Linked DNA regions of Sus scrofa. The protein of the gene in region 3 purifies or fractionates together with the protein of the main gene of each other region. This does not show direct contact. Links are inferred from orthologs where the notes say so. Each region holds a gene or a part of one and is shown on either strand. Other genes may lie near its edges.

Evidence for each region.
Region 1: the proteins of PABPC4 (region 3) and LARP1 purify together in Homo sapiens (affinity purification with mass spectrometry; 3 studies listed by BioGRID and IntAct, with this or other methods). This does not show direct contact. The link is inferred for Sus scrofa from reciprocal best matches to the Homo sapiens genes PABPC4 and LARP1.
Region 2: the proteins of PABPC4 (region 3) and PAIP1 purify together in Homo sapiens (co-immunoprecipitation; 3 studies listed by BioGRID and IntAct, with this or other methods). This does not show direct contact. The link is inferred for Sus scrofa from reciprocal best matches to the Homo sapiens genes PABPC4 and PAIP1.
Region 4: the proteins of PABPC4 (region 3) and MKRN1 purify together in Homo sapiens (affinity purification with mass spectrometry; 3 studies listed by BioGRID and IntAct, with this or other methods). This does not show direct contact. The link is inferred for Sus scrofa from reciprocal best matches to the Homo sapiens genes PABPC4 and MKRN1.
Region 5: the proteins of PABPC4 (region 3) and G3BP1 purify together in Homo sapiens (affinity purification with mass spectrometry; 4 studies listed by BioGRID and IntAct, with this or other methods). This does not show direct contact. The link is inferred for Sus scrofa from reciprocal best matches to the Homo sapiens genes PABPC4 and G3BP1.

The regions. Positions count from the first base shown.
Region 1 is NC_010458.4:68,391,614-68,397,759, forward strand, and holds part of LARP1 (la-related protein 1), read right to left. Parts: intron 4,951-6,146; coding exon 4,841-4,950; intron 4,701-4,840; coding exon 4,573-4,700; intron 2,951-4,572; coding exon 2,741-2,950; 3' UTR 1-2,740. UniProt on the Homo sapiens protein: RNA-binding protein that regulates the translation of specific target mRNA species downstream of the mTORC1 complex, in function of growth signals and nutrient availability.
Region 2 is NC_010458.4:28,112,024-28,118,169, forward strand, and holds part of PAIP1 (polyadenylate-binding protein-interacting protein 1), read right to left. Parts: intron 1,930-6,146; coding exon 1,818-1,929; intron 1-1,817. UniProt on the Homo sapiens protein: Acts as a coactivator in the regulation of translation initiation of poly(A)-containing mRNAs. Its stimulatory activity on translation is mediated via its action on PABPC1. Competes with PAIP2 for binding to PABPC1.
Region 3 is NC_010448.4:95,388,203-95,394,348, forward strand, and holds part of PABPC4 (polyadenylate-binding protein 4), read right to left. Parts: intron 5,663-6,146; coding exon 5,547-5,662; exon of another isoform or gene 5,408-5,546; intron 4,318-5,407; coding exon 4,178-4,317; intron 3,804-4,177; coding exon 3,709-3,803; intron 3,033-3,708; coding exon 2,895-3,032; intron 1,885-2,894; coding exon 1,789-1,884; intron 1-1,788.
Region 4 is NC_010460.4:9,339,023-9,345,168, reverse strand, and holds part of MKRN1 (E3 ubiquitin-protein ligase makorin-1), read right to left. Parts: intron 2,564-6,146; coding exon 2,435-2,563; intron 1-2,434. UniProt on the Homo sapiens protein: E3 ubiquitin ligase catalyzing the covalent attachment of ubiquitin moieties onto substrate proteins. These substrates include FILIP1, p53/TP53, CDKN1A and TERT.
Region 5 is NC_010458.4:71,261,580-71,267,725, forward strand, and holds part of G3BP1 (ras GTPase-activating protein-binding protein 1), read right to left. Parts: intron 5,030-6,146; 5' UTR 5,012-5,029; coding exon 4,917-5,011; intron 1,690-4,916; coding exon 1,608-1,689; intron 1,160-1,607; coding exon 986-1,159; intron 1-985. UniProt on the Homo sapiens protein: Protein involved in various processes, such as stress granule formation and innate immunity. Plays an essential role in stress granule formation.

The DNA.
Region 1 (6,146 bases), on a different chromosome or scaffold from region 3:
TGTACAGACCTTGTGATGTTTGATGCTCAAAAGTGGTGTTGGCATGGACCCATCTTGGGAGGGCACGGGATGAACAGAAGGATTTAGGCAGGCTGTTGCTTTGTTGCTCAGATCTTGGATTCCCCATGGAAGATGGTGGGTATGAAGTGGCAAGCCCTGATGGCCCTTGCTACTCCTGGCATGCTTGTCACAGATACATCGGTCCTAAATTCAAGTGTCTTCAGAAAGTGAAGATGTAAACTACTCTTCGCAACAATAACTCCTAACATGTTACAAAAGGAAAAAAAAAAAAAAAAAAAAAAAAAAAAGGAAGAAAAACACTCTCCCCTCCCCCCATCCTCAGCCTGTTTTGAGATGAAGTCCTAACCTCCCCACCCAAAGGGGCTGCCTCTTTTTGGGTGTCTGTGGGGAGGATCAGGCAGAGAATGGCAGCCCCCAGGCCTGGGAGGAAGCTCTAGCTAAGAGCCTTACCCCCACACCCCCAAGGCTTCCTTGTGCCCCCAAACCCCACAGAGGACAAACACTGAGGTTTCTGTGGTGCTGGATACAGTACAGGGCTGAGAGAGACCCAAAGGAAAAGGGTTGGAATGAAGGGAAAGAGGACGGGGTGCAACAGTCCAGTGTCTGGTACATTGTGGGGCAGGCACCAGACTGGGCAGGGAGAGGCCTTAGACCCCACTGTCAAAGCAGAGGTCACTCAACCTTGGCTTTCAAGACAACTGGCTCACAGGAACTGAGATGGGCTTTCCCATACTAACCACCGGGAGGACAGAGATGCAGGGAGGGCACCGGCCAAAGAAATGAAGTGCCCAAGATGGGGCAAGCCCTTGCCAGCCTGAGATACTGTCTCCTCCTCCCGACCTCAGGGCCCAACAGAGGAAGCAAGTGAAAAAAACGCCAAGAAATCTGAGTGCATGGCTACTGCCACCACAGGGCAAATGTGTCATCACACCCGCACCTGGCACGTGGCCCAGTCTGTGAGGGTTGGTCTTCAGTCACCCTCCCTAGCTTTGGATGCGAGGAGACTCCAGCCAATCCACTGTCAGTCACAGCCCGAGCCAAGCAATCCGTGGCTGGAGAAGAGAAGTCGGGGAGACCCCATGTCCACATACGCCGTCCTGCCAAGGGGCTTCTCCAACCGGCAGGACGCCCCCACCCTCAAAGCTTCCTCGTCTCCTTCGCAGGTGGGGTCCACAGGAGGGTGGGTGGAAATGGCTTGCGCGGGAGGGGAACACAAGATGGGCATACCCACCCGGCCCAAGGGAGAACGGCATCTTTCTCCACCTTTTATGAGACAAAGCCTCCTTGAGGTCTCACCAATCTTTCATGGCAACACTTAGAAATGTTTCCAAGCCTCAGCTGTCCAGTGTTCAGTTTTCCCCTCTGAGGTGGGGGAGACGGTCGAGCTGAGGACGAGTGTGCCCCAGATCCAGGCCAACGCTGTCCTCCAACAGTTTGAAGCAAACTTGGCCTTGGGGTTCCAAGGGTAGGATGAAGGGTGTCACAACAGGATGGGGCCTGGCGTGAGGCAACAGCAAGCAGAGCGAGGACACAACAGTGGCAGCAGTGTACAGACACAGGACGTCAGCTTCAAATGATGCAACAGCAGGGATATTTCAGGCACGGCTCTGATCTGAGCCGCTCCCAACTCTCTTGCCTACAGGCAGGAGGCACTGTACATGCAACTCAGTCCAGAGAAAGATCCTAGCCAATCCAGCCCAGGCACATCCAGAGAAGGTGGGAGCTCTTCAAGTTGACTCCACCGAGGAAAACAGGCATTTGGGTATTTCAGATTCTCACTCCACAATAAGGCAACTTTTAAAAAAATATTATTTCCAAGAACAAACCAAAAAAAAAAAAAATTAAAAAAAAAAAAATCCAAGGGTAGAGGAAAGATATTTTTTTGTGGATTAGGTGGGGGTTTTCTGATGCTTTTTTTTTTTTTTTTTTTTTTTGGTCTTTTATGGTCGATTTTATCTTTTTTTCCCCCCCCCATTTTCCCAAGGATGGAAAGGTCTGAGAAAAATAAAATAAATCATCTTTCAATAGTCTTTTCTGGTACGAGCAGCGTCCTTCTGGGCTGGGGAGTAAGGGGCACGGGGAGAGGGGAGTGGAGCGAGCCCCTCCCCTTTAGATCCTTTGGTTTCCTTCTCCCAGAGGATGGCAGAAGGGTGTGGTGGGGACGGCGGGGAGAGAACACGGTGACGGCAAGCCCCAGATGGTCAAGGGGCCGGTGCTCGTGGGGTCCAGGGACGCTGCCAGAGCCTTCCATGGGACAGTGCTGGGCAATGGGGCCCCACAGGGCCTTCTTGTGGGCTGCATAGTTGGCTTGAAGGGGAGCAGGAGGCGGCTGGAAGTGGGTTGCGGCCTACCAGCCGCGGGCAGGGCTGCAGAGTGATTTTGGTAATCCAGACGAGCTATCAATAATTTAAAACTTGATATATATATATATATATGTATATATATATAAAAAAAACTTTTCCCCCTTCCCCTCCCCCCGAAGCTAGGATGTGAAGAAGAGTCATGGAGAGAGAAGGGGGAAGGGATGTGTGGAGGCTCCTGCCCAGGGGCACCCGATAGCCCAAATGGTGTACATACTGCTACTCAGCACAAAGGCCCGTGCTAATGACCCTAGGCCTGTCCCTCCTCTGTCCCTTCTCCCGGGACTGGGGACCCCATGGACTTTCATCTACTCCCTCCACCCCTTCTCCCCCCCCAGACCCCAGAGCTAAGGGGCTTTTCACTTTCCCAAAGTCTGTGTGTCCGAGTGCTGGCTTGTCCATTTAGCATCTTCCCGGGTGGGCTGGCCGGTAGGTGGTGTGGGGGGTTGGCTGACCATGGTGGAGGGCCTGCTGGAAGACTGGGAGGGGCACCGCTTCCTGCCCTCACCGCTGCCACCTCCTGATGCCACTGGGTGTCGCTTGTGGTTGCCCTCCTCACCCATGGGGGGCTGCAACAGAGGAGGGAGTCGTAAGTGATAAGGGAGCACTATCCACATCCCCTTGCTTGCCAGAGCTGTTTAGAGACGCCCCCTATTTCCCAGCTCCCAGGGTAGATAATGAATAGGCTTCTAACTCTCAGAAGTAGTTACTAGTCTCACTGAGCACAGCTCCACACCAAGATCCAAGCTTTGTGCTGATTTCTACGTATTCACTCATGGTCACTTTGATGGACACGTGACCATCTGAATTCACAGATAAGGACAATGAAGCACAGAAAAATGATTTGTAACTGGTGAAGACTAAATCTGGACCAGGTCCATCTACCTTTGAAGTCCTGGACTTTATCTCTACAAGTTTCTGCTTCCCTTCTAAGAAGGGGTCACTGCTCAAGAAATGATAAATGGAATGTCGTTTACAATATGCTGAGACTCCGCAGTTCAGAAGGCCCAGGTGTGCCTTTATCCCCCTTGAGGCCCTAAAAAGGACACTCCTCTCCCACCTCCACCCCCTCCGGATTTGGCTTCAGCCACAGCATCTGGAAGTTCCCAGCCAGGGATGGAATCTAAGCCACAGCTGCGGTAACACCAAATCCTTAACTTGCTGGGCTAGAGTGGCAACTCCCAAAGGGTCAGACTAGGATCCAGTCTGGCCTCACGACTGCCAAAGGTCCTGTAACCCTGAGGACACTTCCCTCCCTTTCTGGCCACCAAAGCTGAGCCGTTCTTATTCTACCCTCAACAAGTCTTCCTATTACAAGGCTTCTCTACACAGGCGCTCCCCTCCAGGCCCGTACTAGAGAAGTCTTTCAGGACAGAAGTCAATAGACTCATCATCCCATCAGGCAACCTGAGCAGCACTGCCACTACTTCAATGGGTGGCCATGGGGTTCAGTTCATCCACTGCTACAGGGATGCTGACAATAAACCCTGCTTGCTTCACATTAAAAAGGTTAAATAAGGTCAAGGTAAAGGGCCTAGCACAGTGCCTGACCCATAGTAAACAATCAATACCAATTTTTAAATAACTATTATTTACTTCTATTTGCTCTTTTCGAAAAGGTTTCAAGGAACTAAGACGACTGGCATATCCTTACTACATTATAAATTCTCTAAAGGAGAAAGTCTTACTTATCTCTGGGGTCCCTGCAGCACCTACAAAGAACCAGTAGCAATAACTCTGACCCACCACTGGATGTCACTGTTGAGTCACTGCGTCAGGAAGACGTGGATGGAAGGGCAAAGAACTGAATATAATTTATAAACTTCTCCGGTTGGAACTTATCTCTCCCAGAAAGAGTAAAACATTAACACTGGGTACTCACTGTCATTAATCAGCTGTAACTAGGCACAGCAGCAAGGAGGGTTGCGTGATAAGAAGGAAGGAGCACTACGATGTTTTAGGCACATCCATCATAGGAAGGGGAGGGAGGAGCAACCACATATCCTACTATTAGCCTTCGCCACCTACTCCTCACTCTTATTTTACAAAAAAACCCTAAGACCCAAACGGGAGTGGGAAGGGTCCCCAGGCTAGTGGCACAGCTGGGATCAGAACACAGGTATCCTGATCTCTGGTCCGGTTTTCTTTTCCTGGACAACCAGGGTGGGGAAGATGAGAGACTTCCACTTACATCTACTCTGAAGTCTTCGAGGCGACGGAATTTGCCGAGGTATTCTTGAAGTTTGGGGTCAATGTCCAAATTTTTGGCTTTGGAATATTTCAAGAAGGCCCAGAACTTCTCCAGCCCATAGAGTTGGCCTGCAGGGAAAGAGGAGAGAGGTAGAGAGAAGCTGGGTGGCTGACAGAGGGAGGTGTGATGTGATACAGACCAGGCAGAGTGCAGGGCAGAGAACATAAGATCAGGATGACCAGGGCTCAAAGAGCCTCAACTCTCTTACCAGCTTCATAGTCCTTCACGGTTTCTTCCTCAAAGTCCTTGAAAATGTCCAGCCGAAATTTCTTTTCCAGGCCATAGCTATAGTATCGAAAAAGGCACTCCAAACCATACCTGTAGGAGAATACAAGTCAGTAAAACCAGGACACAGTTTTTTTTTTTTTATCTAAAACAGGAACTGTACCTGGATTCTAGATAAACTATGAAACAGTTTAAACAAGTGGATTGAGAAAATGGTAAGCCTTCTTTGAGAAGGCTAACATTAAAGGCGAATCTAAATGTCTGTCAAGAACCAGCAAACTTGGGCTAAATGAGTTAACAGCCTACTACCCATACCCACTTGCTTATGAAGTATCACACTGGTTGCTTTCTGCTACAAGAGCAGAGCTGAGCAGTTGCAACAGATACCTTATGCCCCACAAAGCCTAATAAGATTTGTTGTGTATCTCTTATGGAAAGTTTGTCAATCCCTGATATGAGCCCTCTGCAAAGCTATGTGACCATGCCAATTAGGAGTTTTGTTAATCTATTGGACTCAGAAATTTTTTTTTTTGCCATTTCTTGGGCCGCTCCTGTGGCATATGGAGGTTCCCAGGCTAGGGGTCTAATCGGAGCTGTAGCTGCCAGCCTACGCCAGAGCCACAGCAACGCGGGATCCGAGCCACGTCTGCAACCTACACCACAGCTCATGGCAACGCCGGCTCCTTAACCCACTGAGCAAGGGCCAGGGATCGAACCCGCAACCTCATGGTTCCTAGTTGGATTCGTTAACCACTGCGCCACGACGGGAATTCCAGAAATTTCATTTCTAGGAACATATACCAGGGAAATGACCAAAATTTAGAATTTTATAGATGTATAAAATTACTCATAGAAGCATTAAAAAAATTTAAATGTCTTGCAGAAGTGGTTAAGAAAAATCATGTTAACTCTTTACAACAAAATATATTAAAAATTACAATGTAAATATACATTGATGGATAATGAGAAGTGTTACATGTAGAATGTCCATTTTTGTAAACAAATATGTATTTTATATCTGCACGTGTACAAAGTCTGACAGGACACGACTATTCCTGCTGTGGCTCAGTGGGTTAAGAATCTGACTAGTATCCATGAGGAAGCAGGTCTGATCCCTGTCCTTGCTCAGTGGGTTAAGGATCTAGAGTCGCCGCAGTGTGTGACTGTAGGTCAGAGAGGCTTGGATCTGGTGTTGCTGTAGCTGTGGCATTGTAGGCTGGCAGCTGCAGCTCCAACTTGACTCCTGGCCTGGGAACTTCCAGATGCCGTGGGGGAGCCACAAAAAGCAA
Region 2 (6,146 bases), on a different chromosome or scaffold from region 3:
TGAGACAAAAGAAAATGAAAAGCAAATAAATAATACAAAACATATGCTCAGAATAACTTGAGCCTCTATAATGTTCATAAGGCATTCGCTAGCCTATTTAGCTCACCCCTTTTGGGGGACACATAGCTCTTTATACTCTTTAAAAAAAACTTTCATCATGGAGTTCCCGTCGTGGCGCAGTGGTTAATGAATCTGACTAGGAACCATGAGGTTACGGGTTCGATCCCTGCCCCTGCTCAGTGGGTTAATGATCCGGTGTTGCCGTGAGCTGTGGTGTAGGTTGCAGACGCAGCTCGGATCCCACGTTGCTGTGGCTCTGGCGTAGGCCAATGGCTACAGCTCTGATTCAACCCCTAGCCTGGGAACCTCCATATGCCGCGGGAGCGGCCCAAAGAAATAGCAAAAAAAAAAAAAAAAAAAAAAAGAAAGAAAGAAAATCATTAAAAAAAAAAAAAAAAACCTTCATCAGAATGGAAGAGGTATCATAGCTCTCTGGCCTGAAGAACTGTAGGTTCAGGAGCCATATCTTATCTTTATACTTCCCACACACTGCATCACTACTTCTACATGGGAAGTACAACAGCATTTTTTTTCTTTTTTGGCTGCACCAGTGGCATGTGGAAGTTCCTGGGCCATTTTGAAGCCACATCACAGTGTCCAGCCAAGCCGCTACAGTGACAATGCCGCATCCTTAACCTGCTGGGCCACAAGAGAACTCATGACAACATTCTTAAAGTGACTCTTCATTTAAGGCACATTTTAGATTGGTGCTCTTATTTGGCTTATACAAAAATGGAACTGAGGAGTTCCTGTTGTGGTTCAGCGGGTAAGCTGTGGTGTAGGTTGCAGATATGGCTCAGACCCCACATTGCTGTGGCTGTGACATAGGCCAGCAGCTGCAGCTCCAATTTGACTCATAGCCTAGAAACTCCCATATGCCTTGGGTGTGGCCCTGAAAGAAAAAAAGAAAAATGAACCTGAAAAAGATTAAGGCATGAGATTTTTTTATTTTAAAATAAGGCCTTCTATGGTAAAAAGGGATAAGTGAGGCATGAGATTGGACACAACCCTTTTAAATGCACTGACTGTGATGCACATTTGATGATGGGTTCATGTGTCCTTTCAGGAGTTTACAATACTGAGTTCTCAAAAGATCAGAGTTTAAGAAGGTATGCTTATCCAGATATAACTCGCCCCCCCCCCAAAAAAAAAATCAAGCAAATACATTACAAAGTAATATTCAGCATTTACACTGCCTACCAACAAGCATACACTCAAGTATACCAACAATTAAGCTGGAGACTTTGTACAAATACAGTTTATATGGAAGGTTAATATATAAAAACGGGACCAAAAAGAGCTACTGTGGGTAATTAAGGGGAAAAGATCCACAAACTCTAGTCTCCCCCCTCTTTATCCAAAGCTTGTGCTCTACAGGGCAAGCTGCTTTTAAGTCACCACCTGAAACTCAACATATTAAATGTATTAATACTTATGATGCAAGGATTCAAAAAGGCATGATTATCTATATTCCAAAAGCTTAAACCCACATGTAAACCATGGCTTTCCAAAAGTACATAAAGACTTTAACATGCTTAGTGACTATTTTCCAACATCCTGCCATGAACAGGAAGACAAAAACAGTACATTTGGTACATTAGAGAAAGGACACTACCATAAGGCGGTACTGAGACATTATTTTCTTCCTTTCCCATTTCATTCTTAATGTTGTGAAGGACTAATATGAATACAAATCACTCATTGAGATCAGTTTGTATTCTCAGGCTTTGTCAGTACTGAACAGAAGAAAACCTTACCTCCAGGTTAAGATAAAGTTCTCCTAGAAAGAGTACAAATGCATGGAATCGTTTTCGAGTCACTTCATCCCCTTTAGCAGCTTGATCTTTAACTTCATATTCAGTCCGACATCTAATAAAAATATACCATTTGTAATTTCACATTGCTTTGTGTGTTTTTTTGATGCACTTTTTATTATAGTTGATTTGCAATGTTGTAATAATTTCTGCTGTACAGCAAAGTGATCCAGTCATACATATATATACATTCTTTTGCTTTGTTTTTTAAATAGTCAAACAAGATGACCATTGTCAGTTTGGCCACAAACAATACACAGGCAAGTATAATGTACCAACACCTTGATTTTCTGTAATAAAAAGTGCTTCTGTCTATTGTAGAGACCAGAATATGCATCATCTTCTCACACTAAAATTGCTAATTTTAAGAAACTGATTAGGAATAGATTAAAATAAACCTATTAGATCAAGTTTGTAACAAGTTAAAGCAACATAGATTTCATGAAGTTTGTTGTATACTAGCACTAAAAAAACAAAAAACCGCAGCCTTACCTTATTGTCCTATAGACTTTTTAAGAAAGCACTGTTTTTACTCAAGTTTTCTATAAAATATTTTACTCTTGCCTAAATATGAACTTTGAAACAGATTTTTGGTTTTATATAGATAGATAGCCTCCAACTAAGCTGAAAATAAATTAAGCCTATCATACAAATCAGAAGAGAAATAAGGGGAGAAGTCCCCAATTGGAACCACAGAGAAAGAGAGAAGTCAATTAATTTGGTCCCTATTTCCAAAAGAGACTACAGGAGTCCACTTATTTTCCCTTGCTTGATTTCCCCCTCACTTGGTTCACTTGCCTTAGAACTTACAGATATAGTTCCTACAAGATATCTAAAATAATCACAATAAGTCTGTCATTGTCTACATCAGTGAATTATGGTATCAGCTGTTACTAAAATGAATTTTTAAATGTATTTTAAATATTCACTTTCAGTGTTCAAGATTTTATCTTTACTGATAAGGTGATTAGAACATTCTAGGGGGAGTTCCCGTCATGGCTCAGTGGTTAACAAATCCGACTAAGAACCATGAGGTTGCGGGCTCGGTCCCTGCCCTCACTCAGTGAGTTAGGATCCAGCGTTGCCATGAGCTGTGGTGTAGGTTGCAGACGCGGCTTGGATCCCACGTTGCTGTGGCTCTGGCGTAGGCCAGTCGCTACAGCTGCGATTTGACCCCTAGCCTGGGAACCTCCATATGCCGCAGGAGCGGCCCAAAGAAATAGCAAAAAGACAAAAAAAAAAAAAAAAAAAAAAAAAAACATTCTAGGAAAGTCTGTGTTTTATAAAACTGACTTTGATAGTTCTCCTTTTAAAGACCAAGGGAGCAGCTTATGAAGACTTGATGGTTTTCACCATCTGAGGGACCAGTTTAGGTTGCTTTGGGGGAAAAAAAAAAGTTTTTAAAGGAAAAAATCACTTCTTGTCCAGGAATTTATCTTGATGTCAGTTTACGCATCATCCATAAACCCAGCAAAGCTTATGTGCCTATGTGGCTGATTCCAAAGTTTAAAGTTATATTAAATGAGCAACATTTTCTGTTTGAATCAGATATGCAAAGACACTTGTTACCTTTCTCATACACAGTGAATTAATTCCTCACCAGAAAAAAAACCAGGGATTATTTATCAACAGGACACTCTGGGTAATAATGAGAGTCAGTCAATAATGACAATTCAGTTTTCCAAGCACCTTGCTGGCTGCTTTCCTTTCTCTGTCCTTCCTTTAAAAATTTTTGCAGTTAAGACCTTTGATGAAATGAAATTTTCATTTTGTAAATGCCATAACTGTTAGATTATATATTAACAAACGTTAATTTATATACAAAAACAAGACCCTACCCTTATACATGGTTGATTATCTAGGTGAGAGGAAAGACCCTAAAACTTTAAGCTAAAGATTTTCATTATAAAAGCAAAACATGATTATATTTTTCTGTTTTAACCTTTTGGAAATATGGGACAAGGTCACTGCAACCCAGAAGTAAATGCTATGAAAATAACTTCTGCTTTTTTCAAAGTATGTATATATTTTTAACAGAATTATGATCTGCTTTTCACTTGTTACATGATTTGCATTTCTCCACATTAATGTCTTTGACAGTACCTTAGTACTAGAGAAGCATGCACAGGGATAAAGAGTAAAAAGAGGAGTTCCATCGTCGTGGCGCAGTGGTTAATGAATCCGACTAGGAACCATGAGGTTGCGGGTTCGAACCCTGGCCTTGCTCAGTGGGTTAAGGATCCAGCATTGCCGTGAGCTGTGGTGTACGTCGCAGACTCGGCTCAGATCCAGCGTTGCTATGGCTGTGGCGCAGGCCAGTGGCTACAGCTCTGATTAGACCCCTAGCCTGGGAACCTCCATATGCCACAGGAGCGGCTCTAGAAAAGGCAAAAAAAAAAAAAAAAAAAGAGTAGTTCTCAGCCATGACTAGAGTAGAATTATTTGGGAGGCTTAAAAATACCATGCATAGGCTCTACTTCAGTCTAATTATATCAGAATTTTCAAGAGCAGGGACTCGGACCCATTTTAAGTCTCTATGTAACTCTATGGCAGAGCAAGGGGAGCAGCAGCACAAGGGAAGATAAACAAGCCTTTCTGCCATTCTACCTTCTAGAAGTGCCCACTGTTACATCTTTCTAGAAACTATAATTTGCATTTAATTATAGGTAAGGTTAAATACATTTCCCCAAATGTACCTATTCAGAGTCATTCCAAATACTTCTATTAAAACACTGGTCTTTTTCTTACTCATTCTTAAGAGGCCCCTCTTATGATATTAAATAAGCTCACTGCCATGTATTACAAATTGCCTAATTTTTACTTTACTTCATATAAATTTATGAGCCCCTCAATATTATAATCTATATATAATTAAATTTAATTTCCTATTTTAGGGCCTGTGGGTATCATGTCTTGCTTAAAACATCTTTTACCAACCTAAGATTTTTATTTGTCAAATTTCCCCCTCATATTTATTGTCTCACTTGTAAGTCTTTGATATATTTGAAATATATTTTAGCATAAAGAGTAAGACAGGAACCAGTCTTTGTTTCCCCCACCCACACAACTAGCCAGCTATGTCAGCAGCACAATTTGTCTTTCACGTATATATTTGAAGTATCGCCTTCATCAAAAGCTTAATTTTCAAGCATCTCTGGAGTGTACTTTTGGAATCTTTTCTCTGTTCCAGAGCAGTTCAGCCACATGACGGAATACTCTGCAACCATTAAAAGTATCTTTAGGAGCTCCTGTCATGGCTCAGCCCTTAACAAACCCAACTAGCATCCATCAGGATGAGGGTTCGATCCCTGAGCTCACTGAGTGGGTTAAGGATCAGTCGTTGCCGTGAGCTGTGGTGTAGGTCACAGACATGGCTCAGATCCCACATTGCTGTGGCTCTGGTGTAGGCCAGCGGCTACAGCTCCAATGGAACCCCTAGCCTGGGAACCTCCATATGCCACAGGTGTGGCCCTAAAATGACAAAAAAAAAGAAAAGTATCTTTACAGAATAGGCAAACTACAATAAACTCAAAGACAACCTTGTTATTGAATAAAACAAGTTACAAGAAAATTCATTTCTCTACATTAGCTCATGAATTCAATGTCATCTCTAAAATATCAAGATTTGTGTAATTTCACATGCTGATTCTAAAGTTCAGAGAAAATAACCATGCAAGAATAGCAAAGACGACTCCACACATAAAAAAGAAATGGGGAATTAACTAGACTAGCTACTAAAAAATTAGTGTTTTAGGAGTTCCTGTCATGGCTCAGTGGTTAACGAATCCAACTAGGAACCATGAGGTTGCGGGTTCGATCCCTGCCCTTGCTCAGTGGGTTAAGGATCCGGCATTGCTGTGAGCTGTGGTGTAGGCTGCAGACTCGGCTCAGATCCTGAGTTGCTGTGGCTCTGGCATAGGCCAGTGGCTATAGCTCCGATTGGACCCCTAGCCTGGGAACCTCCATATGCCATGGGAGCAGTCCAAGAAATGGCAAAAAGACAAAAAAAAAAAAAAAAAAAAAAAAAGTGTTTTAAGCATGGGAATAAAACAGTAAGAGAGAAGGTAATAAATATCATGAAAGTCCAGAATTAACACTCAAGTATAAGGATGCAGTATGATAAAAGTAGAAGTTCTAATCAATAAGGAATAGATCATTCAAAAAAGAGGTATGCGAAAAACTGGTTAAATGTGTGGCAATAAATAAAATTAGATCCTTACTCAAGTCAAAAAAGTACTAAGAAGTACGTAAAATGACCATTTTTAAGATCTT
Region 3 (6,146 bases):
AAACTTTAATAGCTCTTAGCAAGGTTAGGACATGCTTTTGAAATACCACAATTGGGCAGGAGTTAGGAAACCAATGACTGCCACCATTACTTCAACAGGAACAACACAGAACCACCACCAGACAGGCAGCTAGATTCTAATCCTGCTCCAGAATCTCTACCTTAAGAGAAGTCACTGGCTTGCCCTCTGAGCATCAATGTCCAGGATATACTTCAAGGCAAACAGCTACAAAACCACATGTCTACGGGTTCAGATAGTCTCCTACATACAAAGTCATCCACAGGAGGCTTTTTCCTCACCTGAAAAGGTCATTTCTTGCTTTCCCTGGCCTACCAGCACTGGTAGCAATATGACCATGTGTGTCTGGCACCATCCCATCTGTGTCTTAGCTCACTGCCTGGAGAGCCTCCTGACGTGAAGGATTTCGGAGTAAAGATGTGTATTAACCCAACAATTATCTACCATTGAGGTGGATCAGTAAGGTGTGTGAAAGTAATGTGACACCATGATCCTAAAAGTGGTGCCTGGAAAACCTCAAGATATGGTTCTCTTGCTCTTTTTTGGCCAATGCTGTCTTGCCTCCTGTCCTGGTCAGCTAGGCGAGACTATCATTCCTTGCACTGCTGGAGACTCAAGGGGGTGATAAGAAGAAGGGAGGGGGTGAGGAACTGAGGAAATTTCTGATGGCAGCTCTGGCCAACACCCTGCTGCAGCTGATAATGCTCCCAGGTTAAGGGCCAAGCAAGATAGGGCCATCAAGCCTCCACTGGCCCACCAGGCCTCCTTTCTCACTCATTGCCCTAAGAGCTCTCTGTGACACGTGCCACACCTCTGAGGAGCAGGAATAGCGTCTGCATCAGCTATGACCCAAAATATTCAGATGCTGTCAGTTCCCACCACACACACAAAGCACTAAGGACGCACGGCGGCCTGCTCAAGGAGAAAACGCTTCATCTTCAAAAGATGGTTCATACTCACTCACCCGGCTAACTCAGTTGATATGATTATCAAAAAAAATCAAGTAGACAATGCACACTGCAAAACATGGAAAAACAAACTTTCCCCTCCCCTCTCCTCCTTTATGAGACCAGACAGGAAGTTCCCAACCTCTGCTCCAAAATCCTCAAAATACCTCCACTCAAAGAAGTGTGGCAGAGGTGTAGAGACAGGTCCCAAGACAAACAGGAAACAACCCGTCTGGATTTCCTCTGCTCATACTGTGGCACCATCTGTCCCCACACCAGCACGAAGCAGCAAAGAATGGGAAAGATTCAGGTGCTCTGGGAAACACTGAGTCCGATTCATCTCCAACCCTGCCCCATCAGTGCTTGGGAGACAGTGAAATGCTAACCTAATAAAATGTCATTTCTCCAGAGTATATGCTCAGATGAGTAACTGGAAAAGCCAGGAGAAATTTGCTAGATTAATGTAGTAGCTAATCTCAGAAACGGACAAAATTTAGATTATGGAGCTCCTGTTGTGGCTCAGCAGAAACGAACCCAACTGGTATCCATGAGGACGGCGGGTTCAATTCCTGGCCTCGCTCAGTAGGTTAAGGATGGGGCATTGCTGTGAGCTGCGGTGTAGGTCGCAGATGCAGTTTGGATCTGGTGTGGCTGTGGTGTAGGTCTGCAGCTACAGCTCCAATTCTCAAACTTCCACATGCCGCGAGTGCGGCCTTAAAAAAAAAAAAATTTTAGATCCTACTCCTTAGATGAAACAAATGCAATAAACCTCTAAAATAGATTACAACGTCTGCTTCAACCCCAAAATCTCAGTATAAAATACCTTAGCACTGGTGATTGATCCAAAAGGAGAAAACTCTTTCCTTAACTTCTCATCATCAATGGTGTCATCCAAGTTCTTAATGTAGAGATTCACCCCCTGAAGCAAAAAGATCACGGTTAATTGCACTTCTATACCTCATACATTCCTGAAGACGATGATTCTCCAACTATGATCCCCAGACATGCAGTGGTACCTTTGGGTACCTGTTAGAAATATAAATTCTCAAGCCAGAACCTGCATCTAATGAATCAGAAATTTTGGGGCCCAGCAATCTGTTTTAACAAGTCCTGCAGGGGAGTCTGATGCAGTATGAAGCTGAGAAACTACTACCTTAAGACTATCAGGACCATCGATGTAGTCTCAGCATTCCTCACAGCTGCCCTGGCTGACCACTGACCCAGCAGGGCCTCCTTATCACCATTCCAAACAAAGCAGTATCATTTAAGAAAAAAGGAACCCACAGGACTAAGAACAACAGACTGGGAGTTCCCACTGTGGCACAGCAAGTTAAGGATCCATACTGTCTCTGCAGCAGCTCGGGTTCAATCTCTGCAGTGGCTTGGTGGGTTAAAGATCTGGTGCTGCCACAGCTGTGGCCTAATCGAAGCTTCAGGTCAGATTCAATCCCTGGCCCATTTCCACATGCTGCAGGTGTGGCCAAAAAAACCCCAGGAGTTTCCACTGTGGCTCAGTGGGTTAAGAATCTGACTAGTATCCATGAGTTCGATCCCTGGCCCCAATCAATGCGTTAAGGATATGGCATTTTCATGGCTGTGGCATAGGCAGGCAGCTACAGCTCCTATTCGACCCCTAGCTCAGGAACTTCCATGTGCCCTAAGTGCGGCCCTAAAAACAAAAAGCGCCAAAAGAACAGACTAAGGCTTCCAGAATAGAGTCCCTAAAATGAAAAAACCTCCCTTGTCCTTGTTCTAGAATTGCTGCTGTATCTGGTACATATATCCTTTAAGCCTGACAATCTTGGGAGAAATGAGGAAGAGCAGACTCAAGGTCCTCAAAGAGGAAGAAGCCTGCTAAACTAAGCCTGTTTTTGCCAACATCTCATGGTACGTGGCCTGCTGGCGGGCTGGGCCAAGAAAACCTCTCACCTGATAGCGACTAATTCTCTCCTGTTTCAGCTGTTCAAATTTCCGCTTTAACTCAGCCTGCCGTTCCACTTTCTTCTGTGCACGGCCGACAAAAATGACCTTCCCACTGATTTCTTTTCCATTCATCTCTTCCACAGCCTAAAGAGGAAACACATGTCTTTAAATCAAGGTGCGGAGGCAGGGGCCTTGCTCTGGAGGTCTGATTAAGTCCCACTGAATATTCTGAGAGAAGGAAATCATCCCTATAGGGCTAAAAACTAATCTTATCCCGTCTCTGAAGTCAGCTAAGCCAACCCAAATTTCCTCATCAGTAAAATGGGGTTGGTATTTAAATGGACTACTGGTCCAGATGTGAGTAAAAGAATAGTCCAGGTGTATAAACACAAGCATAGCAGACATGAGCCTAGGTTGATCATCTGGCTGTCACGAAATTTCTCAGGTTCTCTTGTGGGTACTGAATCATCTATGCTGAAGGCCTAGCACAATGCTTAACCCATAAGTGGATGCTGTTCTGTTATCGAATCAGCAACTCCAGGCCCTTGGTTCCCTCACCTATGACCAAATGCCTGCCCTATTCTTTCAACAGCCTGGCTAACAGGCATATACCAAGTACCCTGAAAATACTTGTATTAACATGCAAAATCCCTCAGGAAGACAATCCCAGGGCACACTGTACATTACCACTAGGGACTCAAACAATTCAGCTCCACTTTACTATTCAATTCAGCTCCACTCTACTATGTGCTAGCAAGGCCCTGCCCACACACTGGGGCCACTCCCTACAAATTTTTCCCAACCCTTGTGGTACTCTCACCTTATTGGCATCCTCGTGTTTTTCGTAACTCACAAAGCCAAAGCCTTTGGATTTCCCACTGGGATCTCTCATCACCTTGACACTTAAGGTCTTACCTATTACCAAAGGACAGAACTATTAGTAACAGAATCTCTACCACAGCTCAAGGAAAGTAGGCTTCTCTAGGAGCCCACCTGAAGCACCCTCCTGCTGAACTGAGATGGACTCAAAGAAAGAGGCACCTTTGAGTGCATGCCTGAATTTCTAATTCTGATCAAGCTGCTGAGAGGGCCTTGGGGATAAGACGAGGTAGGATGAAGCCAAGAGCCGAAGCCTGGAGTCTATTCCTATCTACCCTGTGGCCTTTGTCATGCAAGGCATTTTACTTCTGCCTCTAGGCGCCCCCATCTCTTAAGTAAATAAAAACAGACAAATTCCAGGTCTACTGGACTATGAAAAGAGACACATAGGGCAAAAGACCTCAACTTACCAAACTGGCTGAAGAGCTCTTTCAGATTCTCATCATCCACCTCTTCTCCAAAGTTTTTGATATAAACATTGGTGAATTCCTTGGCTTTGGCTCCAAGCTCAGCTTCTCGCTCTTTTCGAGACTTGAATCTACCCACAAACCTAAAAAGAAACCATGGAAACAGTCATCACCCAGAGGAAAAGAACTTGATTTCCAGGGGCCCAAGGCAACGCAGGTTAAAGGCTGACAGGAGAGGTTAAAACACACATGTCCCCATCCAACCACCAAGAGCAAGCTCAGAGATGCCCCAACTCCCCAGCAGAAAAAGAAAAGAGGCAGGACTGTCCTGCGAGGGCCAGCCCCAGGGCCCCCAGCTCAGACCAGGGCTCCTCCTACCACATCACACTGCCTTCGTGAAGAAACCTGATGACCATGTTTTTAAAACGTTCATTTCTGTGCATCTATGTAAATGCATAGAAAAGGTCTGGAAGGATACAAACCAAACTGTTAACACTGTTAAGCCTAGGAGTGAGGTTGCTGGAGTGAGCCAAGAGGGAGCCTTTGTTTTTTCACTTAATTCATTTTGGTGCTGTTTACACTTAGCAGGAAAAGGTATCCACACATTAAGAATCTTTAGATTTCTTCCTAGTGATACCTTTAGAAGACCTAACTACCAGATACATACATATCATCAATACAACCCATCCGTTCAATATCAAAGGACAGAAATGACTTTGTCATAGCCAGGATTTGTTTTTATTGTCCCTTCTCCTCTCCCTGCATGGCTTAACTAAGACCCCATCTCTCCGTCCTGCAACCACACCAAATCAACAAGGTCTGTTATGAATAGGGTTCTGCAACCAGATGGGATTTTCCATTATAACCAAATTAAGCAGTACTGTGGAGCCAGCCTTGTATTTGAAGGCCACTGAGTCATAAGTTAGCCAAGTGGAGGGGACAATTTGGCATCAATCCCTGGCAAGTGACCCCATGGACAGACCTGAGTCAGAGGAAGGCCAAGGTCACACGACTAGTATAAAGCTCCTGGTCAGTCCAGGGCCCTCTCCACTCTGCCGCTGGCCAAGACCCCCACTTAAGTGGTCTTAGAGCTGCCTTCCAGCCAGCCCCAGATGCTCACAAAACCCAAAGACAGATGCTTTTAAGGGAGAGGCGGCAGGCCGGCCATGGCTTGGGCAGGAAGCCCACCTTGGCGAGTCAAAGGGCTGCCACAGCTCGGGCAGGGAGACTCACCAGCCCTGGAGTGGAGAGGTAGGAGCAGGCCACTCTTGGGCCGAGAGAACCAGTAGCCGCCTTGTGTGTGCCAGTTAATACCGAGGTGGGGCCACGGCTGGCTCATGCGATGGCTGTTGCTCCGGACTGGGACACTCACACTTTGCGGTCATTGAGGAGCATGCCGTTCATCTTCTCGATGGCCTTGTCGGCAGCCTCTTGGGTCTCGAAGTGGACAAAGGCATAACCCTTAGAGCCGTTCTCATCACACACCACCTGTCAAAGACAAGGCGGGCCATTCAGCACCACTGTTCAGCCCCAGAAACTTGAGAGCTGTGTGGGCTTGTGCTCAGGACCTATGAGAAGCCTCTAACCCATCCACGGTCAAAAGGCAGGAGACTACAGTGGGTACCTAGTCATGTTCCACTTACAAATGGCAGCCACTATGAGGCTGCTTCTATTCCAAATGTCTTCTTTTTTTCATTAAAAAACTATTTTGCTATCTGGGGGTCAAGGACACCGGGCTACAGAAAGACAAACCATTTCCTAAGCCCACAATAGAATTATAATCCAGTGTGGAGTCAGACATGTAAACCACCACCACACAAGCTGTACAAAATGCTCCACGTAAACAGGTGCAAGGAGAAGAAAGAGTGCATGCTTCTAAAATGACTAAGTACAGCTTCCTGGAGACCAGAGGCATTGCTCTGATACTTTGCCCCCCCACCCCCGCCCCCCCAGCTCACACTTTGCGGTCAAC
Region 4 (6,146 bases), on a different chromosome or scaffold from region 3:
AGTGACTCACTTATAAAAAACAGAATATAGGGGAAGTGACAGTGTGTGACACTGAGACTAGGTCATAAAAAGGCATTATGGCTTCACCCTTGCTGTCTCTTGAATCACTTCCTCTGGGGACGGGTAACTGCCAAGTGCAGAGACACTGAAGCAGCCCTGGGGAAAGGTCCCTGTGGCGAGGAAATTAAGACTCCCTTCCACAGACGTGGGAGTGAGCCAGGTTAAAAAGTGATCCCTGAGGGGTTGTGGCTCAGCAGCTTAAGAATCTGACTGGTGAGGATGCAGGTTAGAGCCCTGGCTTTGCCCACTGGGTTAAAGGATCCAGTGGGCTGTGGTGTAGGTTCCAGACAAGGCTCGGATCTGGTGTTGCTGTGGCTGTGGTGTAGGCCAGCATCAGCAGATCCAATTCTACCCCTAGACCAAGAAGTTTCATGTGCCACAGGTGCAGCCCTTTAAAAAAAGAAAGTGATCTCCAGAGTCACTGCTGGGGCTCCGGTTACTGCTACGGCACTGGTTTGACCCCTGGCTCTGGAACTTCTGTGGCCAAAAGAGTGATGGCCCAGCCCCCACCAAGACTTCAGGTAATGGTAGCCCTTGCTGAAATCTTGACTGCAATCTTTTTTTTTTTTTTTTTTTTTTTTGTCTTTTTAGGCCCACACCTGAGGCATATGGAGGTTCCCAGGCCAGGGGTAGAACTGGAGTTGTAGCTGCCGCAGCAATGCAGGGTCTGAGCTACGTCTGTGACCTACACCACGGCTAACAGCAACACAGGATCCTTAACTTACTGAGCGAGGGCAGGGATTGAACCTGCATATGCATGGATCTTAGACGGGTTCGTTAAGCACTGAGCCACGGGGGGAATTCCTTGACTGCTCATCTCTTAAAGAGTCTTTCTGAACTAGAATCACCCAGCTAAGGTACCCCCAGAGGCCAGACCCCTCAGAAACTATGAGATAATAAACTATGTGTGATTTTTTTTTTTTTGGTGTTTTTTTTTTGTCTTTTTCTAGGGCCGCACCTGTGGCATATGGAGGTTCCCAGGCTAGGGGGTCTAATCAGAGCTGTAGCTGCAGGCCTACACCACAGCCACAGCAATGCAGGATCCGAGCCACGTCTGCAACCTACACCACAGCTCATGGCAACGCCGGATCCTCAACCCACTGAGCAAGGGCAGGGATTGAACCCGCAACCTCATGGTTCCTAGTCAGTTTCGTTAACCACTGAGCCATGACAGGAACTCCAACTGTTGTTTTTAAACTGCTCACTTTCACATTAATTTGTTTAACATCAATAGGTAACTAAGACCCCTAGGTCTTAGTTAGGGGAAGATAGAGATTACTTAATAACGAATCACTCTTGGTTCTCCAATACTCTGAGAGATACTAGAGATATTTCTAAAGTATTTCCACTAAATTTTAGCATATAATTATTCTTGTGAGGGAGTTCCCGTCGTGGCGCAGTGGTTAACAAATCCGACTAGGAACCATGAGGTTGCGGGTTCGGTCCCTGCCCTTGCTCAGTGGGTTAACGATCCGGCGTTGCCGTGAGCTGTGGTGTAGGTTGCAGATGCGGCTCGGATCCCGAGTTGCTGTGGCTCTGGCGTAGGCTGGTGGCTACAGCTCCGAAGACCCCTAGCCTGGGAACCTCCATATGCCGCAGGAGCGGCCCAAGAAATAGCAACAACAACAACAACAACAAAGACAAAAAAAAAAAAAAAAAAAAAAAATTATTCTTGTGAGCTCAGGTAGTTTAGGAAAGTTTAGTTGGAAGGACAAACCCTCTTAACTAGTAACTAGTGCGCATGATCCCACTTTTCTCACCATAATTCATACTAATAGAGAATAACTGAAACTAGTCCCAATTGGTCAAATATGCACCTCATTCCGGTCTTGAAAGGAAAAGCCATTTACAAATATACCATCACCACGCCCTGTCCCTAGGTTTGCAGAAACTGTTCCTTAGGCACTAATTAAACTTAGGACTGTACTAATACACTTTTTTTTTTGCTTTTGCTTTTTAGGATCACACCTGCAGCATATGAAGTTCCCAGGCTAGGGGTCAAATGAGAGCTGCACCTGCTGACCTGCACCACAGCCAGAGCCACACCAGATCTGAGACCTATCCCACAGCTCACGGCAATGCCGGGTCCCCGCCCCACTGAGTGAGGCCAGGGATCAAACCTGCATCCTCACCATGGATACTAGTCAGGTTCCTTCCCACTGAGTCCCGGTGGGAACTCCTTTTTTAATGTAATACATTCCCTGCAAGGGAGAGATTTGTTGATGTGCTAACTTTCCCAGGGAGCACTTTGCAAAGTACTGTTTTAAATCTATCATTTATGATGCTGTCAGAATTACGTATTTTACTCTCATTTTTTTTCTCCCAGTGTCTCCATTCACCCCGGAACAAAACTGATTTACAAACAAATTCTTACCTGCAGCGGTCTCCGTAAATACAGTACCCTCGCTGAAAATACTTGCACACTACACCGTATGGACTGTCAGAGAGGTCATGTGAATAGCGACAGTTATCTCCTTCCTTACAAACCCCATGCATGAAATACCTGCGAGACAAAGAACCACAAGTCGGATTACGAAAGACTGAAGGCAGCACCCAAAGGAGTCATGATCCACATATTCTACCAGTAACAAAGGAGCACTCTAGACTAGCAGTGTATTCTGCTATTCTACTCCATCTACGCGAACACGAAGGAAGCAGACCTAGCCTGTATGACCATAAAATTATCCAGGGTGGTACCACAAGAAGGCTGCCTATAGATACGGTCCCCAACTGAAACTCTCAGATGGTCTTTTATCTTGTCTGCAGGTTAAATGTGACCACCCTTCTCATTTCACAGTCCCACAGAGGTAGCTGCTCGTTTTCCACTAACTTACGTCTTCTGTCAAAGAATCAAAGAAGCAAGAAACAACATAAACTGGAACAGGCCAGACTACTCTGTTTCACTTCTTCGAGAAACCATTTTAATTCTTTAAAAGCCACACATGAAAATACAAGTGAAATGGGAAGTCCCACCATGGCTCGGCAGTCACCCAACCCATCTAGCATCGATGAGGATGCAGGTTCAGTCTCTGTCCTCACTCAGTGGCTTAAGGATCTGGCATTACCATGAGCTGTGGTGTGGGTCACAGACACGGCTGGGATTCCCATGCTGCTGTGGCTGTGGTGGAGGCTGGCGGCTACAGCTGATTCAACCCCTAGCCTGGGAACTTCCATATGCCTTGGGGGCGGCCCTAAAAAGACAAAAGAAATGAAAAAAAGTAAAATATATTGCAAAGGTAGACGCAAGAGAAATCACTTTATTATATCCTTCACATGTATCCCTAACTAGAAGTTTCTGGAAAACCAAGCATGGACTAGGAATTTGCTAGAAATGTAAAATTTCAGATCTTACCTCAAACCTATTAAATTGGAAAGAGGGAGGAGCCAAGCAGTACCTGTAATTCTCTAAGAACCAGGTGGGGATCAGGGGTAGGGTATTTTCTATAGATAACTCTGATCTTGTAAAATAGGCAGAACCAGCCCCCACAAATCACTGACTTCATTCGTCAGAGGTCACTTTTTTATTCTTTGGCCCTCTATCAGTCTCTTTCTCTTGAGCAAAGTTAAGAAGATTTAATTTTGGCAGGCCACCATTCCCCCAAATATCCATCTATGTACAACTAGTACCGAGTAAGGAAAACAGTGTCTATTTCCTTGGTCTAAATGTCACAGTTATCTAGACATCGTAGATACAATGGCGGTAGGTAGAATCCACTTGTTAACTGAATTGAATGATACACAGAAAACAGATTCATGTAGTCACCTAAGGAGCTTGGAAGAAGGCTGCCTCAAATTGAAATGTGACATTACTAGCAAGTAGGTAACACAGAAAAAAAATGTAACATCTTAATGGGAACAGTTATAATTATCAAGATCCTAGAGTGCCCTAGGGTTTCAGTCCATAACAAGACAGCACAGTACGCAGTTCAGTTTGTGGCTCAGTGGAAACAAATCTGAGTAGCATGCATGAGGATGCAGGTTCGATCCCTAGCCTCGATCAATGGGTTAAGGACCCCACGCTGCTGTGAGCTATGGTGTAAATTGCACACACAGCTCAGATCTGGCATGGCTGTGGCTGTGGCACAGGCAACAGCGGCTACAGCTGTAATTCGACCCCCCCGGCCTGGGAACCTCCATATGCTGAGGATACAGTCCTAAAAAGACCACAAACAAACCAGTAGGAAGTCAAATTCTAACTATAATTAACCTAATTTCAGCTGTCATCAAACTAACAGTCTAACTTTGGTCTGAACTTTTGCTCAACTCCAGGACAACTTTATGAAAGCTATGAAGCTGTCTGAGCATCATGTAAAGAAATTTTTAGTTAAACCACTTGTGCCAATAGGTAATTTGACTGCATAAAGAGATTAATACTTAAAAAAAAAAAAAAAAAAAAAGCACAACCACCAAACAAATCACTGATAATTTCACTGCATTCACCACTAGTATAATCATGCTTCAAAGTATCTCTAATATTATCCACAGTTAAATGTTATTCCTCTGAAACAGTCTCACTGAATACAGCTGCTTACGGCCCCATCCGCAGTGGGAACGTTCAGGCTCACAATTCTAAACACAAAACAAAGCTGTCTATGCATATCTTCAATGTTTCTTTGGGGTCAGTCTGAAGTCAGAGATGCATATACTGCTACAGTTTTCAAGCTTGATAAAATATCTACCCAGACATCTCCAACTGGGTAGGTTTAAGTCCTCAATCTCAGGCACAAATCTCAGCATTTTAGGTTGTTCTTAAATCTCATTTTGCCATGCCCGCAATCATTTGGCGCACTTAAGCTTAGTACGCTCTTCGTTATGTCACTATCTCCCATGAATAAGGACCTGACAGCTGCTGACATTAACATTTTTTCTTTTCTTTTCCAGCTGCACCAGAGGCACATGGAAGTTGCCAGGCTAGGGACTCGAATCCAAGCTGTAGTTGCTGCAACACCAGATCCTTTAACCCATTGCACTGGGCCGGGGATCAAACCCAAGCCTCCACAGCACTGGAGCTGCTGCAGTTGGACTCAAACCACTGTGCCATAGTGGAAACTCCTCAACACTGTTTCTTCAGGGAGCTTAATTCCCTCACACCTGCACTTTACTGTTCAACACCTATACCACTTTTTGACATTCATGATGGTAAAAACTGCTCCTGAGAATCCAAAATGAAAGAGTAAAAATCAGAGTCAAGAAATAGACTGGCTTGGAATTCCCGTTGTGGCTCAGTGGTGAACGAATCTAACTAGGTAGGAACTCTGAAGTTGCGGGTTCCATCCCTGGCCTCGCTCAGTGGGTTAAGGATCCAGCGTTGCTGTGGTGTAGGTCGAAGATGCGGCTCGATCTGGTGTTGCTGTGGCTCTGGCGATTCAACCCTAGCCTGGGAACCTCCCCATATGACGTGGGTGCAGCCCTAAAAAGACAAAAAAACAAAACATACAAAACAAATAGACTGGCTAACCTGGGACAGTGTAGTATGGCCTATGAGTACCTTTTGACCAAGAGCATAATACAACAATGAGCAAGAATGAAGTGAACAGGGCACCCTTGTGGGGAAATAGGTCTAGAAAGCCAGGCAACAGATTTCTGCAGGGCCTCTTAACCCAAGTTATTATTTTTTGGCCGCTCCTGTAGCATACAGAAGTTCCTGGGCCAGGGATCGAACCTATACACCACAGCAGTGACCTGCACCACTACAGTGACAACGCCAGGTTCTTAACGCAATGGGCCACCAGGCAACTCCTAAGCCAAGTTATCTTAAAGCAGCCAAGAAATCACCAAAAGATCTGAAACAAGGAAACATCATAGTTAGTCTTAAACTTTAAAACACTACACGAGGCCGCCTTCTTCCAGGTGCCCATCCTTGGCCAACTGACTATAGACATTTACATCCAGGGACTTTAGTGCATCTTAAGTTTCAAGAGCCAGCAGTGGCTGCAGCTACCAGAACAGTTACTACAATCAGGCTGCATCCATTGTTTGTTTATCTAAGTAGTAATAAAAAGTACAGAATTGGAAGGCTGTTTATTTATTTTTTTTTTTTGGTCTTTTTTTTTTGCTATTTCTTGGGCCGCTCCCACGGCATATGG
Region 5 (6,146 bases), on a different chromosome or scaffold from region 3:
GCAAATCCGGGATATTTTAAGGCACTGATAAAAAGGTAGTAATTAACTAAATCCTTTAAATAAAGACTCCATTATAGATAGGAGAAAAGGCAAAGTTCTTTACAGAAGTAGCCCAATAAATAAATACAGAATTAGATGATCGCCATTTTTCTGGCCAGGATCAGCTAAGTGCTAAAACTAGTGCATAAAAGTTTGATGACCAAGGTATACGCATAGTCTCAAAGACTCGCCCCCATTAACTGAGCAAGAAAATAGTATTAATGCTACAGTGGCAAAACCTGATGACCAACATCTTAATTGATACTAATAACAGGACCAAATAACATCAAGTGCCTCCCTAATAAGAGGCACTCAAAAACACTTATAACCTAAAACCAATCCAAAGGAAATAATAAAAGAGCCTAAGGAGACATGACAGCTATATGCAATGTGTAACCATAGACTGAATCTTGGACAAGCAAAAAAAAAAAAAAAAAAAAATCACTACAAAAAATATTATTGGGACAATAACCAAAATTTAAATAAGGACTGTAGACGGATAATTTTATAACAGAAATATTTCTTCAACTTGATAACTATACTGGCACTGGAATACAGTTTCATATTCTTAAGAAATGCTCACTTGGGGATCTGAGGATGACTAGGCATCATATCTCCAATTTACTTTTCAAATGGTTTACAATTAAAAATGGTAAGGATTTCCTGTTGCGACTGAGCAGGGTAAGAACCTGACACAGTATCTGAGGGTGAAGGTTCAATCCCTGCCCTCACACAACGGGTGAAGGATCCAGCGCTGCCAAAAACTACAGTGTAGGTTGCAAATGCGGCTCGGATCCAGCATTGCCATGGCTGCAGTATAGGCCTCAGCTGTAGCTCAGATCAGACCCCTCGCCCAGGAAACTTCTGTATGTCGCAGACGCAGCCACCAAAAAAACTTTTTTAAAGTTTTTAAAAAGACATGTACAACTTCACTTTTTTTTCGTACCTCAGGAGCAAGGACAAAAGTCTGCATGAATCTCCTCAAAGCCTGGTTGTTGTTCGAGAGCAAGCCCATCACCTGGACCACCACGCCGTCATTCAGGGTGGCGTGAGCGTCGACATGGCGGATCTTGGTGTGGCAGTTGGTGAAGTTCTGAGCCATCACTTTCCTATGGATTTCCTAAGGAGTCAAGGCAAGAGCTAATACCTTAACACTTACACATCTCCAGGAACAAAACATTTTCTTACACAACAAATACAGAGAATTTACGTGTTCACATTTAAACTACACAGACCCCCCTTATAATTTGTCTTAATAGCATATTCCCAGTGATCACGTTGAGCTTTTTAAAACTAATTTCCTAAATTAACATACCAAAAAATTTCTACAACAGATCCCCAGGCCAAAACAAGTTATCTCAGAGTATCATACAAAGTGAATAAAAGTGACATCATAAGCTTTTCAATGACTACCACATAAATCAAACAGTTACTAAATACCTGTATTTCTCAATAGAGGTTGAAAAATTTTATCTTCAAATAGCAACAAACCTCTTAAGCATGTACCCACCTCAATCTTACGAGTTTTCTGGCTGCTTAAGAGCCTATGTAAAGCTTGCTATACTTACTTTTTGTCCATAGACTGCATCTGCTGGCTTTCCATTTGAATCCAATCCCCCATGGACATAAGAAGAGTTCTTTCCATAAAATCTGTAAAACAGAAAGACACTTGTCATCTTAAAATGTCCTAAGACTACTTATTTATTGTTCATGACCGTTACCTATCTGCCTCCCAGGTACATTCTTGGTGGCAGGAATGTTTTCTTTTTCATCTTTGTATACAATGATGTATCTGTTCCATACATGTGGCAACATGTGTTGAATGAGAGTCAATTTCATCCAAAAAGAAAATCTTTTTTCACTTTTTAGGGCCGCACTTGTGGCGAGTGGAAGTTCCCTGGCTAGGGGTCAAATTGGAGCTGCAGCTGTCAGCCTACACCACAGCCACACAGCATCCAAGCCACATCTGTGACCTATACCACAGCTCACAGCAATGCTGGTCCCTTAACCTACAGAGGGAGGCCAGAGACTGAACCCATGTCCTCATGGATACTAGTCAGGTCTTCTTTACCACTGAGCCACAATGGGAACTCCTGGTCGAGAAATTTTTACAAGTCTGGAACTCAGGATTGGATGATCCAGTTGGGAAGGATTTTGTAGTTCATGTTAGGAAGACCACTCAAAATACAAATTTCTGTTTCCATTCAAAGGAGAACACAGGCAGTTTTGATGTAGATAAGGTTATCTATACTCTACAGTCTTGGAGAATCCTTTTCCATCTAAGAATGCATGGGATGAGTTCTCATTAAAAACCCGGTAAGTCAGGCAAATGGGTTTAATAGTTTAACAATTTTCACTTATGTATTAAGAGCTTCTCCATAGCTTTAATTCATCTACATCCTCAACTGCTTTCATTAGTACTGGTTAGGAAAGTGCCAACCCCACCCCAACACACACACACACACACACACACACACACACGGGATGCGGTAATTCAGGGATAATTACTACTAGGATTACTTGACACCTGTACTCCAGATGAACAGTTTTTCATGAATGAGCCTATATATACATGTCATTCTACATCCTGTTTTTCCTCCTGCCCCCGCCAAAAGGGATGGATCTGGGCCCTTGAAGATCCCAAAACTGCCTTTTAACTTTTAAAAGTTATTAAAGGCTGCAGCCAGTCAATCAGTTCACTGCTGGCTAAGCCACTTTTCACTGCATCGAAATGTAACTCAGAGATTAAATGTTTAAAAAAAAATGAATCAATAAACAATACTGACAAGAAATATATTAATGTATTTGGTTAGTTTCAATACCTGCATTTTAAACTCCAAATTTATAACTTCTAAGGGCATAAAATACAATTTTGACAAAAAAGCAATAAAAAGGGGGGAAAAAAGCTTACAGATTTGTTCCATCGCTCAATAATTGTGTGGATACCAGCAAATTTTCACCCCTTAGGACCTTCATTTGTGAAAAGAAATTAACTTCATATACTACAATGCCTTACTAGAAGGTTTTTACAAAGATCAAGAGGAAAAAGGAGTTCCTGTTGTGGCTTAGCAATAAAGACCTGACTAGTATTCATGAGGACACAGGTTGGATTCCTGGACTCTCTCGGTGGGGTTAAGGATCCAACATTGCCGTGAACTGTAGTGTAGGTCACAGATATGGCTCAGATCCCGCACTGCTGTGGCTGTGGTGTAGGCCAGCTGCAGTGTTGACTCCTCGCCTGATAACTTCCATATGCTGCAGGTAGTGCCCTAAAAAGACCAAAAAAAGGGAAGGAAAAAAAAAAAGGAAACAGGTAAAATAGTGTTTTGGAAATTGTAAAGCCTTTAAAAAAACTAGCCAAGGGATGTTTTTTCATTTTCAGAGCAAGGGCTCAAAATGAATTTCATTTACACCTATTATTCACGTGGTATCCAATAGGCAAGCTAGCCAAGTATAGAAGAAAAAGTAGCTATGGCCCAGCAAATACACATTTTCAGAATTTCTAAGAAATATTCTAGTAAAGTCCAAGACAAAAAAAGGAGTTCCTGTCAAGGTGCAGCGGAATTGAATATGACTAGTATCCATGAGGACGCAGGTTTGATCCCTGGCCTCGATCACTGGGTTAAGGATCCGGCGTTGCCGTGAGCTATGGTATAGGTTGCAGACACAGCTCGGATCCAGCATCGCTGTGGCTCTGGCGTAGGCCAGCAGCAACAGCTCCAATTAGACCCCTAGCCTGGGAACCTCCATATGCCGTGGGTGCGGCCCTAAAAAGACAAAAGAGAAAAAAAGAAATATTCTAGTAAAGTCCAACACAATACTTAAAAGTTTTGTATAATGCACCACTGTTTGTAGGAGGAAATAATGGCAGCAATTTACATATTATTCTTTTTTTTGTTTGTTTGTTTTTTTTTTTTTTTTTTTTTTTCCATGGCACATGGAGGTTTCAGGTAGGGGTCTAATCGAGCCTACGCCAGAGCCACAGCAACACAGGATCCAAGCTGTGTCTGCGACCTATACCACAGCTCACGCAACGCCGATCGTACCCACTGAGCAAGGCAGGACTGAACCCGCAACCTCATGGTTCCTAGTCGGATTCGTTAACCACTGCGCCACGACGGGAACTCCACATATTATTCTTTATTAGAGGATTAAAGTACATGCTACATCCCTGGAAATTAACTTTGTGGATACTAAAATTAATATATGTACTAAAATTAACATATGTACTACCCTTGTAAAATCATCAGGTATCAAGTAAAACAGCTAAACAGTATATTAAAAAAATGTGCAGATAGAGGTTCCTGTCATGGCTCAGCAGAAACGAATATGACTAGTATCCTTGAGGATGCAGGTTTGATCCCTGGCCTCGCTCAGTGGGTTAAGGATCCGACGCTGCCATGAGCTGTAGTGTAGGTCGCAGACACAGTTCAGACTGGCGTTGCTGTGGCTGTGGCACAGGCCAGCAATTACAGCTCCAACTGGACCCCCAGCCTGGGAATCCCCATATGCCGTGGGTGTGGCCCTAAAAAGCCAAATAGATAGATATGTGTGTGAATATTTATGTGCAGATCCATAAAGAAATTGGTACTGGTATTGTTTCACTAAAGACTTCCATCTTTGTTCATACATGTTTTAATTTACAATAAACATAAATCATTTCCATTAAAAAGATACGGCAATATTTTAAAGCGTATCAACATAGATGAATGTCATTATTGGAACAGTCTCCTATCTTCAATTCATTCTTCCATGATTCATGATTCACCAAAAACAGCAAAACAAAAACACAAAAGCATGAATGTTATACACTCATATTTTCAGTTCCCACATACTAAAACATAGCATAAATGCTGCCTGGGAAAAAAAGGTTTTACCTGTGTAGCATGTCTGGGGCCTGGTTCAGCAGCGTGTAATACTGTCTCACAAATTCCCGCCCGACCAGCAGGGGACTAGGCTTCTCCATAACCATTGCTTTGGTCAATTCAACCTGGGGGAGAAAAAAGTCAAGTATGTTCAACTTCAAAGATCAAGCAGAAGGGGAGAAAGCGGCAGGGAGAAGACTGAACCATGTAGCTAAGATCAGCTCAGACTGATGGGACTACTTCAGCAATTCATGGTTTTTAAAAGGAATGAACGTAAGGGAGTTCCCACTGCGGCTCAGTGGTTAAGAACCCAAGTAGCATCCACGAGGATGTAGGTTTGATCCCTGGCCTCTCTCAGTGGGTTAAGGACCCAGCATTGACAGAAGCTGTGGTGTAGGTCATAGATGAGGCTTGGATCTGGCGTTGCTGTGGTTGTGCTGTAGGCCGGCAGCTTCCATTTGACTCCTAGCCTGCGAACTTCATATGCTGCAAGCACGGCCCTAGAAAGAAAAAAAATAAAAAACAAAGAATAAACAAAACACATACAGACCAGTGAGATTTTATACGTTCAAATTTATTGCAATTAGATGAATGCTTGGGGAAAAAACCACTATGAAGAATTAATTCATCATTATTTCCCACATTCAGTTTTCTTTTTTTTTGTTTTTTTTTTGTGGGGTTTTTTTTTCTTTTTGCCATTTCTTGGGCTGCTCCCGCAGCATATGCAAGTTCCCAGGCTAGGGGTCTAATCTGATCTGTAGCCACCGGCCTATTCCAGAGCCACAGCAACACGGGATCCAAGCCGCATCTGTAACCTCCACCACAGCTCACGGCAACACCAGATCCTTAACCCGCTGATCAAGTCCAGGGATGGAACCCGCAACCTCATGGTTCCTAGTCGGATTTGTTAACCACTGAGCCACGATGGGAACTCCCAATTTTCTTTAAATATAAGAACCTCAAAGGTAAATCAACTATAATAAAAATTTTTAAAAAGAACCACAAAGGTACCTATTTCCAAGATGCATCTTATCGTAATTTTCCTAATATATTCAACTCAATTAAGAGTGTTCCAGTTTTAATATTAAAACACGATCTTATTTTTAGCAATATTGTATTCAAGAGTGATAAATACAGCTTTGATACATAAGGACACATACTTCCACATTTTTCTTTTGACCAAATGAAAAAAATTTTTCAGAAATTTTTACTGCCTTTAGAAAAAATAAAATTCTAAATATG